Linked DNA regions of Stegostoma tigrinum. The protein of the gene in region 1 purifies or fractionates together with the protein of each later gene. This does not show direct contact. Links are inferred from orthologs where the notes say so. Each region holds a gene or a part of one and is shown on either strand. Other genes may lie near its edges.

The links. The genes of interacting proteins can lie anywhere in the genome.
Region 2: the proteins of protein arginine N-methyltransferase 8-like (region 1) and RNA-binding protein EWS-like purify together in Homo sapiens (affinity purification with mass spectrometry; 3 studies listed by BioGRID and IntAct, counting the BioPlex papers as one, with this or other methods). This does not show direct contact. The link is inferred for Stegostoma tigrinum from reciprocal best matches to the Homo sapiens genes PRMT8 and EWSR1.

Annotation. Positions count from the first base shown.
Region 1 is NC_081371.1:47,537,090-47,547,445, reverse strand, and holds the start of protein arginine N-methyltransferase 8-like, read left to right. Parts: upstream 1-6,462; 5' UTR 6,463-7,529; intron 7,530-9,159; 5' UTR 9,160-9,279; intron 9,280-10,356. UniProt on the Homo sapiens protein: S-adenosyl-L-methionine-dependent and membrane-associated arginine methyltransferase that can both catalyze the formation of omega-N monomethylarginine (MMA) and asymmetrical dimethylarginine (aDMA) in proteins such as NIFK, myelin basic protein, histone H4, H2A and H2A/H2B dimer.
Region 2 is NC_081379.1:21,258,361-21,268,323, reverse strand, and holds the start of RNA-binding protein EWS-like, read left to right. Parts: upstream 1-5,787; 5' UTR 5,788-6,118; coding exon 6,119-6,131; intron 6,132-9,915; coding exon 9,916-9,952; intron 9,953-9,963. Other genes in the region: rhbdd3 (rhomboid domain-containing protein 3), read right to left, coding at 4,996-5,164. UniProt on the Homo sapiens protein: Binds to ssRNA containing the consensus sequence 5'-AGGUAA-3'. Might normally function as a transcriptional repressor. EWS-fusion-proteins (EFPS) may play a role in the tumorigenic process.

The DNA.
Region 1 (10,356 bases):
TTTTTTTGCCATGCTAGACCACTTCTCTGGTGTTGTCACATGGAATGTTTGGCCATATTGCAAGTATTGTCATCATAGACCAAAAACTTTTCAAAATAACTCTTTTCTAATGTCATACTAGCTGTGTATATTCAGATTCAGCTCCATGTCTAGGCTAAAATAAAACAAAGAACTGCGGATGCTGGAAATTGAAACAAAAGCAGAAATTGGTGGGGAAACTCAGTATATTAGACATTATCTATGGGGAGATTGCTAATGAAAGGTCACTGGACTTGAAATATTAACTCTGCTCTCTCCCCCAACAGATGCTGCCAGGCCTGCTGAGCTTCACCAGCAATTTCTGTTTTTGTTTCATGTCTAGACTGTTGGTTTTCTCTCCATAGCCCCTTAAGCATCATATGATCATTGACACAGCTTTCTGTTCACATGCTCAAGAGGTAAACATTTAACCTACATCGCTTTGCTCTCAGTGCGGTCTTACCAACAAGGTCAGTCAGTATATGGCCCCAGCCCACAGACTGGGATTCTCAACTGCAGGGCAATGAGGCAACAATCTCAGCCATAACCAGCAGTGAAATAAAAGGGAGCTCTGGACTGATAACACCTGAAGTAGGGACAGTGAGATGCAGTCAGGCGAAGCTGGGTTGACGACAATAGCAGGGGGAGTAACAGAACAGAGGGAGGAAGTATGGAGAGTTACAGCTGGTGGACAGGGTCAAGTAGTTGCAAAAACACTTTGGAGCTACATATTGTGTGTTGTAATGAAATGAAACTTTCTAAGGTGCTTCACCGGACTATAAAATAAAACAGAATACGACACTGTGATGCGTGAGGAGATATTGGATCCAATGACCAATGGGTGCTGTGTCCAGAGTGGTCTCCCTGTTACAGGAAGGATATTAATAAGCTGGAGAGGGTTCAGAAGAGATATACAAAGATGTTTCTGGGAATAGAGGGTTTGAGCTATAAGGAGAGGCTGGATTATCTGGATTTTTTTTCACTGAGCATTGGAGGTTGAGAAGTGACTCTTATAAGGGTTTATAAAATCATGAGGGATATAGATAAGGTGAATGGCAGGTGTCTTTTCCCCAGAGTGGGCCATTTAAAGCGGGATATTTTTTAAGGGGAGAGGAGAAAGATTTAAAAAAGACGAGGGCAATTTTTTTACACAGCATGGTTTGTGTGTGGAATAAACTTCCAGAAGGAGTGGTGGGTGCCGTTACAGCTACCAGATTTGAAAGCCATTTGATTAAGTACATGAACGAGAAATGGTTGGAGGGATATGGATCAACTGCAGACAAGTGGAGCTTCTATAGTTTGGGATTATGGTTGGCATGGATGAGTTGGACCTAAGGGTCTGTTTCTGTGCTGTATGATTCTATGACTCTATGACCAACCACTTACCAAAGAGGTATGTTTTCAGAAGTTTTGTAAAGGAGGGAAGAAAGTTGGAGAGACAGAGAGTGGTAAAGAGGCCAGGATTAGAGGAGATTACAGAATTTGGGAGAGGAGTGACCACATCAGGAGGGTAGTTACCACTGAGGTAACTGTAAATGAGCCTGGTTCCTCTGTTGAAAATTCAAATGTTTTGGCTTAGGATCCAAAAAGCCTCCAGATGCCAGAATTCTGAAATGAGAAAGAAAATTCTAGAGAAACATCACAGTTTATTCTAACGAACTTCAACCCCTGAAACGTGAACTTTATTCTCTCCCTTACGCTGACTGATCTATTGAGCTCTTCCATCTTTTGAGGGAGCTTTACTTTTCCTTGGGTTTCATTGCAAAATATGGAGGTGGTAAAATAATGAGCTTGACATTAATTCAAGAATTCACAATTTCTCATTGGAGGGAATTGCTGCAACTTTCAGATGTTTCAATGTGGGGCTATTAGTTACGTACAATCTGCTATTTACTGCAATGATGAGCTGCAATGTTCAACCATCATATACAGAAAGTGTACTTGGCTGTACATTCAAACTGCTTTGTTCAAATCACATGTGGTACAGTACATATTATGGATAACATCATATTCCTCAGTTTTGGGGACTGGAAGTTGAGAGTTGGGCACTGCTGGGCACTGAGTGGTGGGCACTAACTGACTGTCCTATTTTAATGCCAGTGACATCACCACATTTCATTTAATAAAGGATTAGGAATTGGAGAAGGCTATTTGGCCCTTCAAATGTGCTCCAACGTTAAGTAAGATTGTGATTCCTTGAAAGACCACTACAGTTAGTTTCTTTTTCTTCTTATTTCTCCAACGACTTGCTCAACATGTGGCTATTATCAAACAGCTACCCAGGAACTCTCAACTATATTATCCTAACCATCCTATCAGTGGGAACATCCATTGTTGTCAGGAATCAGTCATTAGGGCAGATTGATTGAGCATTTGATTACTAAGATGGCTTTGCTCTGTTGAGGGTAAAACATGGAATGAGCAACATGATCGGTAGAAGAGGGAATATAGGAACTCGACACAGGAGCAGGAGACCTTTTCAGCCTGCTCCACCATTCAGTTAAGGTCAAGGCTAATCTGGTTGCGGCCCCAACTACTCTTTCCCATCTGACCCCTTTCCCAATAACTCTCCCCTCTCTTGTCTATGAGAAATCTGTGTTGAATGAATTTAATGGCCTAACCTCCACTGCTCTCTAGGGAACAGAATTTCCTACCTGTACATTGCATTCCCGTTGTAGTAAATATCAATCATCTAATTGTATGTCTAATCACTTGCAGCAGTTGCATATTAACATCAAGAGCTTCATGTACCAGGATATCCACATCCTTCTGTATCACCAAGTTTTGCAACCCCTATATCCATTTATATACTATATTTCTTATCTAATCTTCCTGCTAAGGTGAACAACTTCACATTTTCCCAGGTAAGACTCCATCTGCCAAATTTCTGTCCACTCACAAAACCTGTTGATTTACCCTCCTATATTTCACCCCCGACACCTCATGTTTAAATTCCCCCCAGAGCATTCTTACAAGGCAGGGCTGGCAACTGTGGTGATGAATCATTTCAAATCATTTGCAATTCCTCAGAGGATCCTTCCACTCTGCAGAGTAAAAGCTGTCTCACACCTATCTCAGCGGCACCCACCTCTCCCAGCAGGGTTGCCAGTGCAGTGTACAGCCTCCCTGCCATCTTTCATCAGGTGATCTATCTCCTAATCAGTATCCTAATTGCTCACCCTCCCTAATATTGCCTCAGACGACACCAAGTTGGCACTGATTTTAGCCAATACCTCTGAAAGTTGTTACTGATGGGAGGAGCTCTCCTCTGAATTTCTTTAAAGCAGTCTGTGATTCAAAATATCCCTATGCAGAAATGCAACTTATATCTTCCAGGTACTGTTTGACCCTAAAAGTCACCCACAAACCTGCCTGAACCACAGACAATCAACATCACTATCCTCACCTCAAACAGTAAAAAGATAATGTAGCAATCCACAGCACAGCAGTGAAGTATCCAACAATGATTACAATTAAGAGATAACAAGGTGTAGAGCTGGATGATTACAGCAGGCCAAGCAGCATCAGAGGAGCAGGAAGGCTGACGTTTCCGGCCTAGACCCTTCTTCAGAAATGAGGGAGGGGAAGGGGATTCTGAAATAAATAGGGAGACCGGGGGAGTTGGATAGAAGATGGATAGAGGAGAAGATAGGTGGAGAGGAGACAGACAGGTCAAAAAGGCAGGGATGGAGCCAGTAAAGGTGAGTGTAGGTGGGGAGGTAGAGAGGAGATAAGTCAGTCCAGGGAGGACGGACAGATCAAGGGGATGGGGAAGTTAGTAGATAGGAGGTGGGGTGGAGCTTGAGGTGGGAGGATAGGACAGGTTGGGGAGGCAGGGATGAACTGGGCTGGTTTAGGAATGCAGTAGGGGAAGGGGAGATTTTGAAGCTTGTGAAGTCCACATTGATAACGCTGGGCTGCAGCATTCCCAAGCAAAATATGAGGTGCTATTCCTGACCTTGTGTGAGTGTGCGTGTGTGTAAATAGTTTTGGTTTCAGTTCTGTGAATGTGACTTTTTTTAAAAAGGTCAGAAAGTCATTTTTAAACAGGAAATTAAAATGTAACTTTCAAGATGTATAGGGTTTAAGTTGCGTAACCAGCAAGTTATCGGCAGAGCAAATGGAAACTTTTATGACTACTGAAAGGCAGGTGGACATAGGCTAGAATCAGATTTGAGTTCACAAGTTTAGCTTCATATCTGCAGAAGAGAATGTTCATTTGCGAAGTCTCCAAGCTGTAGGAGTTTATACAAACGTTTTAAGCTGTCCGAATTTTAAAGAGTTCAGGCCATCAGGAAGAATTCAGTTGAGTAAGAAATCTTAAAGTGATGGCAGATGTGCAACTTCATTGGAACTGAGTGAAAGGGGAAGAGGGATGTTTAGGTAATGGTTTTTCTAAATTGTCATTTATATTTATAATTTTATTTTGCTTTCACGTAAAATCTTTTTGTGTTAAAAGTACATTGACAGCCTCAAGTGAACATGTTCACGGATTAACCAAAATTCTAACCACAAACATCAAGCACATAGTTTGTGAAAGCAGCATCACAGGTGGACAGAGTGGTGGAGAATGCGTTTAGCATGCTGGCCTTCATCAGTCAACGCACTGAGTATAGGAGTTGGGACGTTATGTTATAGTTGTGTAAGTCATCAGTGAGGCCGCACTTGGAGTATTGTGTACAGTTTTGGTCATTTGTGACAGAAAAGACATAGTTAAATTGAAAAGTGTGCAAAGATTTACGAGAATGTTGCCAGGACTAGTAGGCCTGAATTATACGGAGAGGTTGGCCGGGATAGGATTTTATTCCTTGGAATGTAGGGGAATGAGGGGTGGCCAGGGAGGTGTATAACATCAAGAGGGGCATAGACAGGATGAACGCATGTAGTCTTTTTTCTCAGGGATGGGGAATTGAAAACTAGAGGGCAGAGGTTTAAGGTGAGAGGGGAAAGATTTAGAAAGGACCTGAGGGATGACTTCTTCGCGTAGAGAATGGTGCATATATGGAACAGGCTGCCGGAGAAAGTGATTGAGACAGGTACAAGAGCAGCATTTAAAAAACATCTGGACAGTACATGGATGAGAAGGGTTTAGAGGGATATGGACTAAATGTGGCAACTGGAACCACCTGAGTGGGTACATGGTCAGCATGGACAAGTTTGGGCTGAAGGGCCTGTTTCTGGGCTGTATTACTCTATGACTCTATTCAAGAATAAAATTTATGATCTATCAAGCCAGGTTTCACTGGGCCCTGACTTGAACAATATGGCCAACAGCTGGGGTCAGTACCTGACAACTAATAAACTAAAAAAATTAAATATTTGAAATGGAACTTAATGTGAAGACGCATTCCTTTTTAAAATCATTTATAGTACAGTTCAGCATTTCACATTACTATTTCTCACAAGCAAATCTTTGCTTAATTTAGTTATAGTTTAACACATGCTCTCAGGAATAGGCATCTCTTGAAAGGTGTGACATTGTTGCATGTTTAATTAGATCAGTGGGTGCAACAGATTGAGGGATAAATATATACGGAGCAGTTGTGTAATTATTGAGCAGAAATCAGTTCTTATAATGCAGTGGTAGTGTCTCTACCTCTGAGCCAGGAAATCTCAGTTTAAGCCTCCCTGGATCAGCAGCGTATCATAATATCTCTGAACAGTTTGATTAATAATAACGCTCGTAGTTAACAGAAACCTTGATTCTGGAAGAGGTACCTGACTCCACCTCCTGGTTAAATGTCCTTACTGCAATTATACAGAACACATAGGAAGATCACACTCGGGAGTACAGTGTGATGAGGAAGAATTTCTTCACTCAGGAGGGCTGGTTCGATGGAATTCTGTGCCCCAGAGACCTGTGGAAGCTCCGAAGAAATTCCTCATCTCAGTCCTGAGACTGTGACCTTACATTATTAACTTCCCAGGCAAGGAAAACATTTTCTCAATATCTATCCTTGAGAAGACACTTAATATTTCAATGAGATCACCTGTCATTCTTCTACACTCTAGCAAATGTATGCCTTCTCTATTCATAGGCCAATCAGCCTGGTGAATCTTCATTGCAATGCCTTGAGGTTAAGGTATGTCTAAAACAGAAGTCCACAGATTTTTGGACTCTAATCAAGGGGAAAGCGTGGGAAGGCTGAGTTGAGTGAGCTGATCAGCAATTACCCCTTTGAATGATGCAGCAGGTTCAAAGGACCAAACAGACGAGACTAGCAACAATTTGTTAAGTTCTGAATAACTGACATCAAAAACATCAGTGAGACAATCGTGTGAGTGAGTGAGTTTACATAGTGATTGAGGCAGTTAGTACAGAAGAGTTAATCATCAATTGCTAAAACCAGTGTAGCAGGAATTGACCTGATTCCCCTATTGTCAACATCCTGGGAATTATCATTAACCAGAAAATCAACTGGACTTGCCACATAAACACAGTGGCTACAACAGAAGACCAGAAGACTGCAACACGAGCTGTGAGCAGCAGGCCCGAGACTTAATCCCCTGGTCCAGGCGAGCAGGCTGAGCTGAGGTCAGTGGCTAGGCCTCAGCACTTGATGGGGGTAGCTGCAACAAGTTTGGTCCCAGCGCGGGACCCAGCTGTGCTGGCCGGAGCTGCATCAGCGATGTTGGCCCAGTGTGAGCACACGGAGGTGCTGGGTTAGTGGAGGCGAGTTGGCGAGGAGAGTGACAGCTCTTTGTCCCCGGGGAGGCAGCGGCCAAGCACACAGTTTCTGCAGCGTTTAGCAGCATAGAGTCGAGGCATCAGGGTGGAGGAGCCTGGATCCAGGCCTATGGCTGAGCTGGAAGCAGGAGATGAAAAGGCCGCCTTACTTTATTGAGATGAGACTATAAGATGAACTTTATTGTTTTACTTTTCTGGCATTATATTCTGTTTTTCAGTTTATTTTCGGTGTTTTAAGATGGTGCTGGATAGTGGCAACTTCTCACTGTATTTGCAATAAATTCACACGACAACAAATTAAAACGAACACGTAACTCACCTCCTGATGCCTCAAAGCCTTTCCACCATCTACATGGCACAAGTCAGCAGCGTGATGGAATACTCCCCACTTGCCTGGATGACTACAGCTCCAACAACACTCAGGAAGCTTGACACCAGCCAGGACAAAGCAGCCCATTTAATTGGCACTGCCTTCACAAGCATCCATTCCCTCCACCTCTGATGCTTAGTAGCTGCAGTAAGTACCATTGACAAGATGCACAACAGATGATCAGCATGGAGCCTTAGACAGCAAACCCTCAACCAATTCCATCTAGAAAGAAGAGGGCAACAGATACATGGGAACACCACCAGCTGCAAGTTTCCTCCAAGTCACTTGCCTTCTTGAAATGGAAATACATCTCTGTTCATTCATTGTGTCAAAATCCTGGAATTCCCTTCCTAAGGGCATTACGGGCCTACCATGGACTCCAGAGGTTCAGAGAAGGCAGCACACCACCATCATCTGAAGGGAAATTAGGGATGGGCAATTGATGTTGACCCAGTGAGTGTTACCTACATTCCATGTGTGAATTTTAAAAAAAAATCAGTCCAGAGATCAGAATAGCAGCAACTTCAATATGTGAAATTAACACTTTATACATATTCTCATTCACGTTTGTACTGAAATCAGTAAGTGGGCGTACAGGTTCCATCTGATGCAGTTTAAGATGGTACTGCAGATCCTTTGCAAGACTGGATCTCAGGTTAAATTTTAACCAAAGCTATCAGGCAATATCTTCATTAAAGTGAAGGTTTAGTCAGTGGTACAGCAGCATGCAAGGTCAGAAAAGCAGGTTGGTTTATAAATGATTTGTGAATAATATTGTCTCAGCATTCTTGAACATAGATATAAAGCTTCAATAATTTTTAACTCGGTCTAAAGGAACTCTGTAGCAATTAATATACTGTCAGAGTGAAGGAGCTCAGTTGTCAGCACTGGTCCATTTTTGTTCTGTACAAACAGCAAATGAAGCATGATTCTCCAAACCTGTAAAATCAGAGCAAAGGCACAAATCTTACATATCAGTGCAATACGTACTTACAAAATAGAAATCCTTTAGTACAGAAAGCTAAACATGGTCCTGATAAGTAGAAGGTGGAGGGAGTTGGAACCCAGAATGTGGAATTTGCTGCTGTAGCATAAGTTTGAGGTGAATAGCATAGATGCAGATAAAGGGATACCACAGAACCAGAGTGGAAAGAAATGGGGGAATAGATGAATGTAGTGAGGCTAGAGTAGGGTGAGGGGCTGCAGTGATGGTGCAGTACAAGCTGCACCTACACCAAAATAGGGTATGTTTGTGACACAGCAGTGATTGTCACTGGAGTGTAAGTCACATGCCAGCTTAATGCTCTGGGGATGCTGGCTCATATAAACTATGGCAGCTGGCGGAATTTGAATTCAATAAATTAATCTAGAATTGAAAGCTCATCTCAGTCAGCAATGGCGACCATAAAGCTATCATCAATTGTTGTAAAAACCCATCTGTTTCATGAATGGCCAATAGAGAAGAAGTGAACGTGGTCTCGCCTCCATGCAACTCCTGGCCCACAAAAACATGGTCTTAATTATCCTCAGTTCAATAGCAGTTATGGAGGGCTATCAAACTCAAGCGATGCCCGTGTAAAGATCAAAGACTGATGTGGAGGCACTGGTGTTGGACTGGGATAGACAAGGTCAGGAGCCACACTACACCAGGTTATAGTCCAACAGGTTTATTTGAAATCACAAGCTTTCAAAGCACTGCTCCTTTGTCACGAGATAAGGGAGCAGAGCTCTGAAAGCTTGCGATTTCAAATAAACCTGTTGGACTATAACCTGGTGTTGCTTGACTTCAGATCAAAGAGTGGCTTAGCTCTGTAATGGTAACTCAATGAAATTCTGGACCAACAGTAAAACAATCCCACTCTCTGCAAGGAGTCTGCTGGGGTCAACAATGTGACTGAAAGAAGCTCAATTCTCAGTCTCAAAATGAGCAAAAATATGCGTGTTCCACCTTTGAGCACTTGGGTCTCCTGAAACACAGACAACCAATTACACACACCAGCCTGCTCAATGATGTAAATTAAAAATTAAAGTTGCACAAAACAACTCAGATAAATTTCACTTACTTTTGTTTTATTTTATTCAGTCACGGGATGAGGGCGTCGCTGATCAGGGCAGCATTTATGGCCCATCACTAATTGCCCAGAGGGCAGTTAAGAGTCAACCACATTGCTGTGGATCTGGAGTCACATGTAAGCCAGACCAGGTAAGGAGGGCAGTTTCCTTCCCTAAAGGACATTAGTGAATCAGATGGGTCTTTCCTGGCAATTGACAATGGATTCATCACCAACAGGCTCTTAATTACAGATATTTATTGAATTCAAATTCCACCATCTGTTGTGGCAGGATTCAAACCTGGGTCCCCAGAATATTAAATCGGTCTCTGAATTAACCGTCCAATGATAAAACCACCAGGCCACTGCTTCCCCTAACTTATTTTTGTTGAATGACAGTGCAGTGCTCCCTCAGTACCTAACAATGCAGCACTGATCCAATACCAGAGCAAACTTGCTCAGTATTGATCCTCTGACCGTGCTGCACTCCCTCAGTACTGACCCTCCAATGGTGGGCCACTCTTTCGGTTCTGACCCTCCAACAACGTGGTGCTCCCTCAGTACTGACCCTCTGACAGTGCAGCACTCCCTCAGTACTGACCCTCTGACAGTGCAGCGCTCCCTCAGCACTGACCCTCCGACAGTGCAGTGCTCCCTCAGTACTGACCCTCTGACAGTGCAGCACTCCCTCAGCACTGACCCTCTGACAGTGCAGCGCTCCCTCAGTACTGACCCTCTGACAGTGCTGCACTCCCTCAGTACTGACCCTCTGACAGTGCAGCACTCCCTCAGCACTGACCATCTGACAGTGCAGCACTCCCTCAGTACTGACCCTCTGACAGTGCAGCACTCCCTCAGTACTGACCCTCTGACAGTGCTGCACTCCCTCAGTACTGACCCTCTGACAGTGCAGCACTCCCTCAGTACTGACCCTCTGACAGTGCAGCACTCCCTCAGTACTGACCCACTGACAGTGCAGCGCTCCCTCAGTACTGACCCTCTGACAGTGCGGTGCTCCCTCAGTACTGACCCTCTGACAGTGCAGCGCTCCCTCCGTACTGACCCTCTGACACTGTAGCACTCCCTCAGTACTGACCCTCTGACAGTGCAGCGCTCCCTCAGTACTGACCCTCAGACAGTGCAGCGCTCCCTCAGTACTGACCCTCTGACAGTACAGCGCTCCCTCAGTACTGACCCTCTGACAGTGCAGCACTCCCTCAGTACTGACC
Region 2 (9,963 bases), on another chromosome or scaffold:
AACCTGACACAATAGACAGAATAGGAATGCAGCAATGGCGATTGGGACCTGTTGGGTCAGGCACGCACACATCTGGCTGCTTTCATAGACAGGTTAATAGCTATCATCGAGAATCAGATCAAGCAGTCTCACACATTTCTGTGCACGAGCGCTATATATGAAATTTCAAATAAACATACCAGATTTGGAAGTGGACTGCCCCCTTCTTCTATATTCCCCAAATTACCTCTTGAAGCAGCAGCCCCTGGTAACACACCCCTAACATTTAGTGGGCAGATTCCCTGGACCATGGTCCAGCCTTAAATGGACAGTCCTGAACAGTGAAGGACCACACACCTAACAGATCTCTGTTCAGCTATCCACTTGTGCTTTCACCACTCCCTAGGCTAGTTGCATTGGAACCATGGCCCACTCCCTGAACTGTAAAGGAATGTATCCCGACTGACCACTCAGATGGTCAACTGACCACGTCCAAGCTCATGGTCGTATAGCAGAGATGGGCTTTGACTTACCATGCTGAGGCCTCCTCATTTAAGGACTTTGATTTGACTGAGGACTACTCCTCTTTCAGTTTAAGACTGAGCAATTTCCTTGAAGCACACATACTGTTTGATACGTTTGCAGCTAGCATATGTTACTGTTGAGAGTTTGACGTAGCACGGGTGACAGCCAACATATCATTCACCTAGACTGCTCACTGCTTGTGTCAAAAAGCAAGGTAGGACAGAATATCAATGAGCATTTAGGCCCTGAAGGTGAAAATGACAAAAAGGCAAGGCAACAGTGCTGCGAGCTTCGAATTGGGTGTGAAATGAGCGAGCACTAAGAAATTGAGGAAGTATCTCTGTGACGTACTCGTTAAATCCATGAGGTGGGTGCCCATACTTCAACACATAGTGTCATTGAAGATGTGTTACAATGAGAGGTGCTGGTGTGCTCTAAAGTATAGCACTGAAGTGTAGAATTATATTCTAAGTGCATGGGAGATGTGCCATGATGATGTGGTGAGGCTGGTACATTTTGGATGCCAAGGTCTGTGCTCGTGGACCATGTGCAATCACTGTTCATGAAGTATGTCTTGAGATACTGGCGACTGGTGTCCAAGATGGAGGTCTGGAAGAACAAGCTGCAAGCTTAAATCACTAGGTCATATTTTCATGTTGGGAATTCTCATCGACTAGTTTCTACTTGGCAGACGGGAGAATGGAAAACTAAATATTAATGAAATGAAATTAAGTAATAAAAAGATGTTAATGCAAGCAAATGAGCCTCTCGCTGCTCATTAGTGAGACTTTGTCGCACTATTTAACACCTATCCGCTAAAAATCGAGCAGAAGATTCTACAGTAAACCAGGAGGAAGTTCTCCTAATTCATCTTTCAACCAACACCACAAACAAGGAACTGCTAATTAACTTACTTCCTTTGCAACTTTACTCTGCATAATTTTCTTGCTGTATTTATCTACTCTGACAGTGAAAGAATTTGCACTTATAGCAGACAGACACATCTTCAGAATGGCTGAAAGTATCTTGTAGCTCATTCATTATTCGGGAAGTATAGTCTGTTTGATCATAGGAACTTACAACACAGAAGGAAGCCATTTGGCCTGTCCTTGAAAGAGCAGACATTTTTAAACCCCCATGTTTTTTTTAAAATCCCATAACCCTTATTTATCCTCTAGTATGGTTATATTTATATTTATTTATGAATCAGCTTCCATCACCTGCGGAGGTAGAGCATTCCAGACACTGAAAACTAAAAGAAAAATCCACATCTTCGCTCTTCTTACCGCAATAACTTTAAATCTATTACCTCCAATTGTTGAGTCTAGAGAGTTTTGTCTCTATCAAAATAACTGATCATCCAGAAAACCTCAGCCTCATCCCACACCCTTGACCTGTCCCTCCTCCCTGGACTGACCTCCCTAACTCCCCACCTATGCTCACCTTTACTGGCTCCATCCCTACCTCTTTGACCTGTCTGTCTCCTCTCCACCTATCTTCCCCCTCCATGCACCTCTCCCTCTCTCCCTATTTATTTCAGAACCCCGTTCCCTCCCCCATTTCTGAAAAACGGACTAGGCCTGAAACGTCAGCTTCGTTGCTCCTCTGATGCTGCTTGGCCTGCTGTGTTCATCCAGCTCTAATCTTGTTATCTCAGATTCTCCAGCATCTGCAGTTCTTACTATCTTTGAAATATATATTTGGGGTTTTTGCTGTTGAAGAATAAACATTGATCACTACATTTGGGAACACAACTATGTTTTCTTTTACCATGAGCTATTTTAGCTCCAGCTGAAAGATCTCACTCGAAAATGAACATTTCCAATCATGTGATGATCATTTAATAGCGCACTGAATTGTCAGTCTAGAAAATGAAAATGTGGCATTTAAAGTTGCCACTTAAGAGGTTATGCCACAGCTGTACAAAACTCTGGTGCGGCTGCACTTGGAGTATTGTGTACAGTTCTGGTCACCGCATTATAAGAAGGATGTGGAAGCTTTGGAAAGGGTGCAGAGGAGATTTACTAGGATGTTGCCTGGTATGGAGGGAAGGTCTTACGAGGAAACGCTGAGGCACTTGAGGCTGTTTTCATTAGAGAGAAGAAGGTTCAGAGGTGACTTAATTGAAACATATAAAATAATCAGAGAGTTAGATAGGGTGGATAGGGAAAGCCGTTTTCCTAGGATGGTGACAGCGAGCACGAGGGGGCATAGCTTTAAATTGAGTGGTGAAAGATATAGGACAGATATCAGAGGTAGTTTCTTTACTCAGAGAGTAGTAAGGGAATGGAACGCTTTGCCTGCAACAGTAGTAGATTTGCCAACTTTAGGTACATTTAAGCCGTCATTGGATAAGCATATGGATGTACATGGAATAGTGTAGGTTAGATGGGCTTCAGATTGGTATGACACGTCGGCACAACATCGAGGGCCGAAGGGCCTGTACTGTGCTGTAATGTTCTATGTTCCTTACTTGCAGATCAGAATGTTATCATTCAGCCAAACAGGCACTTGTTTGCCCAAAGTAATTGTTTGTACTTCTTTAGGATTTTTAGGGTAAATTTCTTTGGGCCAGCAAAGCATTCCAAAGGAGAAAGCCAGGGGCTATGGGGTTAATTTATGCCAGTGCAAAATACTGCTGCAGCTGGGAACCTGATACAGAAATACAAAATGCACAAAATACTGAGGAGTCGAGAAATCTGCGGGCATTTTGCATTGAAAAGCTTTAATCGGAATTTGTGAATTAGCTTCTAATTGCTCAGTAAAGTAGTGCCACAGACACATCTGTGTTTTAAACATCTTTAGTCCAAATACATGTAAACCATTTTCATCTTTATACAATATTACAAGGAATGCAATAAAAATGTAATAATCGTTGGTCTATAAATACATGTCAAATGAACTATAGTGTATGGGAAAGGTAATGAACATTATATTGATTTCAGATTTCCTGGATATAAAAGGAATCTGGCAAGTAAATGTCTGTATTCCTAAAATTAAAAGATTTGCTTTTCCACTTTCCTTTCAAATTGATGGATGCTTCAAATCCTGGGCAGTTTAAAATTGGCTCAGTGGCAGGACACACAGGGTGCTGATTGAAGGTTGTTCTTACAACTGAATGTCTCGTCCAGTGACATACCACAGGTTAGTTTGCATTAATGATTTAGTCATGGATGTTGGTGATTTAATCAGTTTGTAGGTAACAAAAAAAAACAAGTGTTGTAAACAGTGAGGACAAAAACTTTAGACTGTGGGAAGATATGGTTGGTTTCCTCAAATGGCTAAAAGTTAGAAACTGGGTTTAATGCCAAAAAGCATGTCACATGTATTTTGGGAAGAACAGCAAGGTAAAGGAGTACATGATGAAGTAGGCCTGTGCATGTTCATAGGTCCTTGAAGGCAACAATACAGATGGATAGGATAGTTAAGGCGGCATATGGGATTCTTGCCTTTATTGAGTGAGGTAGTGAATACAAGAACAAGGAGGTTTTGATGGAGCTGTGTCAGATGCAGGTTAGACCATAGCTGGAATTGTATCTCTGGAATCATAGAAATGTATAGCACGGAAACAAATGTATCAGTCTAACTTGTCCACGCCAACCAGATATCCTAAATTAATCTAGTCCCATTTGTCAGCATTTTGCCCATATCCCTCTAAATCCTTCCTATTCTTATATCCATCCAGATGTCTTTTAAATGTCATAATTGTACCAGCCTCCACCATTTCCACCGACAACTCATTCATTTTGCTTGGAGCAGAGAAGGCTGATGCAGGACCTGGTTGAAGTATACAAATTATGGAGGGCACAGGTGGGGTCAATAGGAATATATTTTCCCCCTTAATACAAGAAACACAAATTTAGGGTAAGGGCAGGAGCTTTAAAAGAGATCTAAGCAGAAGATTTTGTCACGCAGAGGGAAATTGAGTATTTGGAACTCTGGCTGAAAGGCGGTGGCCAACATTTAAGATGTGTTTAGATGTACACTTGAAGTGTCACAGCATACAAGGCTACGGACCAAGTGCTGAGAATTAGGACGAAAGTAGACAGGTGCCTGACGAACCTACATCGATACAATGAGCCAAAGGGCGTCCTACTATGCTGTAAAACTCTATGACTGTATTTCCACATATAAATGATAACCGAAGCAAACTTTACCATTTTTAACATCTAAACTAGGATGCAACTCACATTAAGTGTTACAGCGTAGACGGAGACCATTCGATCCATTTTGCCTGCACCAACTCATCAAACAGGCATCATTTTCTTAGTACCAGTCACCTATTTTTACTCCTCTCATACTCTTGCACGTTATTTTTACCCAAGTATTCGTCCAAAACACTACAGGCAGAATTTCTGGCCCAATCCGGTCGTCAAGTCAGAGGCTCGGTGTGTTTTGGACAGTTTGCTATGGAGTTATCTCGGATTAGGATTTAGTCCCACCATCCAGTAAATTTGCTAATTTGGTGGTGGATGAGGATGAGGCACTTACCTTGGCGGTGAGAGAGCACCGAGCTGGCTGTCAGGGTAAAAGCCTCCTCGGGCCCGGTCAGCCACAACAAGAGAACAAGGGCGAGGAAGGCGGCGCTGGCGCTCGGCACCCGGGCCCTGACTCGGGCCACCCCGAGGCCGGCCCGCACCCAGTCGCCGCAGCGTCCCATCCCAACCCCCGGCGGGTCGGAGAAGAAAATGTCTTGATTATTGTCGCCGCGACATCATGATGATGATAATAATAATATCGGGGTGGGTGTGGAGTTCCTCCGAAGACCTTCTTACTCGGTGCCCGATCACCGGCCTCCCTCTTCGTTGGCTCTTTACCGGGGTGGAGACACCCACCACACCCCTGAGATACACCCCACAACAGGACCGAGCATCGCTGACTGGCGTCGAGCAGAGAGGGAGGGAGACTTGAAGGAGTGAAGGGCGGTGTTGTCTTTACTACAGCCACGTTATGGCGGATCTGATTATATTAAAACAAAACCTCCGTGCAAGGTTACGGATTGTATGACAGTGGAGACGGTGCGTTTTATTTCAGCCCGCTTTCAAACCCGTGAGGAAAGACATAATGTCCGCGCGCCCAACGCAATGGAGGAGAGAATCGAAAGAAAAGAGAAGCGGGGATACGAGGTACGCATAGTGATGGTGGCTGAAGCGAAATGGCCGCGTTTCCATCGCGACCGGCCCGGAACCATCAACAAGGCGCTACATTCCCTCCATTGTTCTACCCGAACGGTTTACCGCGTTACGCTGGACGCATCAGTGCGCCGCCTTGTCTTTAAATAGCGCGACGTGGAGGCAGACATTTAAACATAAAGCCTCGGCCGCGAATCGGCGGATAGAGGCCAGCCCCGTTCTTTCGTAATCATCGTTTTTTTTTAAATTTCGTTTTGACAATCCTATGTAAAGCAGAGGGGAAGGGGTCGTCGGCGGTGTCCACCTGTAATATCTGCGTAACAATTTGAGAACTCGGGCGGGATCGTGGCGATTGGAGTCGAGGCCCTTTTTTTTGAATTAAAACATTTCCGGCGCGAGTTGCGCAAGGCGCCAAATTAAGTGGTTGAGTCCGGCGGGGCTCCGCGCAGGCGTGTTTCGCAGGCAGTCAGAGGTCGGTGAAGATGGCGTCGACGGGTAAGAGGGAGTCTCTAACTGTTGGCATCGGATTTAAAGGCGCTCGGGTCGTATGCCCGGTTACCCCACCCACCCCCGGACGATAACGGTTCTTTTCTGCTTTCGACCTCACCACCGGTGTTATTTTATTTTCTGAAAAGGGTTGTTGGTCGCCGGCGATTACATCGAGTTTTTTTTCTTTCTTCTCCCCACACCCCCCCCCCCCCCCCCCACTTAAGATACCATCTAGGAGGCGTTTTTTTTAGAAAAGATTGGAAGAGGGTTTAGGCCTCAGTCCCCGATATCGCGTGTCGGGTGATTTTTTTTTGTTGGTGGTGGGGGGGGGGAGTGGTGAGGGAGGGTGAAGAAAAGGGAGGCTGGTGGATTGGCCGGCCTTGTAGCCGTTGGGGCCTCGGGATGTGTGTGTGTGTGAGAGCGAGAGCGCACCTCCCCCGCAGGAACGTAGCTGCGCCACAAAGCTGCGGGGGTCAACGTGTGAAAGCCGACGACGAAGCCGGGCCCGCTCCGCTAGTGTTGACCGGCTGCCACTGCCGCCACGCTCCCTCGCCCTTGGGAGACTCCGAGGCGGAGTTTTCACCGACGGGGCGGAAGTGTGTCCCTTTCCTGGCGATCCGTTAGCGTCGAGGCCTAGTCGGGGTGGGGAAAGGAGAAGAGGGCGAGGGTCAGCCAGTACAACGTTTCGTAACAAATACTTTGCGTAGAGATTCATCTCCCCAGTCCTCTATACGTATTTTCGAATCTGGTGTGATTAAATTGATTTTTTTTTAAAAACTGCACCATTTGGGATTTTGCAACTTTTGAAAAGTCGGTTCGATTTTTTTTCCACCCCACCAAAATCGCGCAACACTTGCTACGAACCGATCGGCTCTTTATATCGGCGTGGCTCATTTTACATTTTTAAAGAATGTTTTTAACTGTTGGCACTGTGCCAAAATGGAGTCGCGCATAGGATCTGAAATTTCTTTTTGTTTGACGGTACTGTGGGGACCGCGTGTGACTTAGTTCAAATTGATTCTGTAACTTTTGGATGCAGCAAGGTTTAATTTTTGGGTTCATATACGTTACCCTCTGGTAGCGTACCAAAGGTTAATCGTGAACTCTCTAATGTCCTAATGATTTTAGTGGGAACTCAACATTTGCATGTTTCCGGTTAAAGAACATGGGGTGACTTTCGTCGTCCTCTTCAATATCTTTTACTGGTATTGAAAATCGCTGGCCATTGTGTGACTTTTTCTTTTTTTTAATAAATTTGAAGTCTTGACTGTGGTATATTTTTACATTCATATCCGGGATTTGGTATTAAAAAAAGTCAAGTTTGTACGTTCACTGCTGAATAAAGCCTACATAAAACAATTCAAACGTTTAGCCCAGTAATGCTCCTAAAATTACTTACACCTCGCATCCTAAAAATTGAGCCTTTTGATTCTTTGTGTCGTTTGTTGAGACCTGCTAATTTAAACTTTTAAGGGTCAGTCTCCTGTCATCTGTGGCATTGACCATGGGTGTCTAGTGTTCATCAATAAACTGGGAAGGGCTGCAGTGGAGAACGAGGAAGCCTTTATTATCGATAGTTATTCTACTTGGGACTTGGGTACAGAATTGAGGGTTCTTATGGGAAAGGAAAAATAGACTTTAAGCTGTTACTGAAATTGGTTATTAGTTTAAACTGACCTTTAAACTATTTTGGTTGTAATCATTCAATGAATGCAGGATTGACCGAATTAGAGCTTTACTGGACCTGTGGATGGCAGCTTCTCATCCTAGAAGTCAAAATTAGAAAAACCTCAGTAAAAGCTACATATGTTGTGTCCACAGTTAACCAGGTTTCTGGAGTGGGCCCAAAACTAAATGAGATGTATAACTGTGGTTGGTTGGAGGCATAAATTTTCTTTGAAAAGCTGTCTATACTAATATTTCAACAGGTGAAAGTTGAGGAAGGGGAAAGGATTCTATAGGCTTCATAAGACATGGGAGTGGAAGTAAAGCGATTCGGCCCATCGAGTCCATTCTGCCATTTAATCATGTCTGGGCGTTTCAACTCCACTTCCCTGCACTCACCCTGTAGCCCTTAATTCCTTTGTGAGATCAAGAATTTATCGATCTCTGCCTTGAAGACATTTAACGTCCCGGCCTCCAGTGCACTCGGTGGCAGTGAATTCCACATGCCCACCACTTTCTGGCTGAAGAAATGTCTCCTCATTGCTGTTTTAAATCTACCCCCTCTAATTCTAAGGCTGTGCCCACAGGTGCTCGTCTCCCCGCCTAACGGAAACAACTTCCCAGCATCCATCCTTTCTAAGCCATACATTATCTTGAGTTTCTATTAGATCTCCCCTCAACCTTCTAAACTCTAATGAATACAATCCCAGGATCCTCAGCCATTCATTGTATGTTAAACCTACCTAATAATTAATAGTTGCATCTCATTTCAAATATATTCATTGGTAAAGGAGTAAGGAGAGGATTTTGATACATGTAAGTTTCTATGCTTACGAGCTTTTGTGTGTCTTGGATGTAGGAGGAATTGCTAACAAGTACAAATGCAGCAATACAGTTTTGGAAGTTGATTTGGGGCTTAAATTCTTAATCAAAGCAATGTTGCAATATACATATACAATGGGTTTTTATGCTGACTTTTTTCTCTTGTAACATTCAAATGCATACAAATGTGCACACCATGGATTTGATGTGAAAATGATGTACAAAGGCTTCCCATACTCTGCAAATGTATAATTGAGCAATTCTGGTGAATGAAAATTGACGAGTAGTTTACAGCTTTTGGCTTGAAATTTCAAACTTAGCAAATGTAGGTCACTTAAAATGGCTAAGGGAATCAGACAAGCAATGTTTGGGATAAACAACTGAATAACAACATAACTTGGGGCGGCATGGTGGCTCAGTGAGGTACTGGTGCCTCACAGCACCAGGGAACCAGGTTCAGTCCCTCCCTCAGGTGACTGTCCGTGTGGAGTTTGCCCGTTTTGCCCGTTCTCCCCATGTCTGTGTGGGTTTTCTCCCACAGTCCAGAGATATGCAGGCTAGGTGGATTGGCCATACTAAATTGACTGTAGTGACCAGGGATGTATAGATTAGGTGGGTTACAGTGGGATAGGTCTGGGTGGAATGCTGTGAGGTTCGGTGTGGACTTGTTGGGCTAGAGGACCTGTTTCCACGCTAAGGATGCTGTGATCTATACATCTGTAGCTTTGATTTGGAGACCAATATGATGGAAAACAAAGCTAAGGAAACCAGAATTTGAGAGATCTGTATTGTCATATTGGCCTTTTAAGCTTAACCTCTTGACATGGTTATTCACAATTATAACTGTTCCATGATATCATCTCTGGCCCCAATGCAGCTTTGTCTTGTGTGTTGGCAGCTGTATTCAGTCATTCTGACACGATTTTTGTTGAGATTGTTGACTGAATCAAAGTATACCAAAACCCATATAGATGGTCTTACTTCAAAAGTTTTTTGAGGTGTTTTGGTTTCCTTACCCAAATAGTTTCTTCCTTGAAGGGTGAGAAAAAAATATTGCTAAGAATTACAATTGTTCCTGTTCTGTTTCATTGTCTAGAAATGCAGTAAGGGATCCCAACCATGTCAAGATAATTAATGGTATTTTGGTGAATTTTTTTTAGTGAACTGCAAGTAATATTTCATATGGATGTGGTGCAAACATATATTTTACTAGATTTTTATCACTTCTATTTTGTAAAATAAGAAACCTACTTTAAGCAACTTAATATATTTAGTTGAGGAAAAAAATCCTTTCTTTTTATAGATTATAGTACCTACACTCAAGCTGCAGCTCAACAAGGGTAAGTGTGAT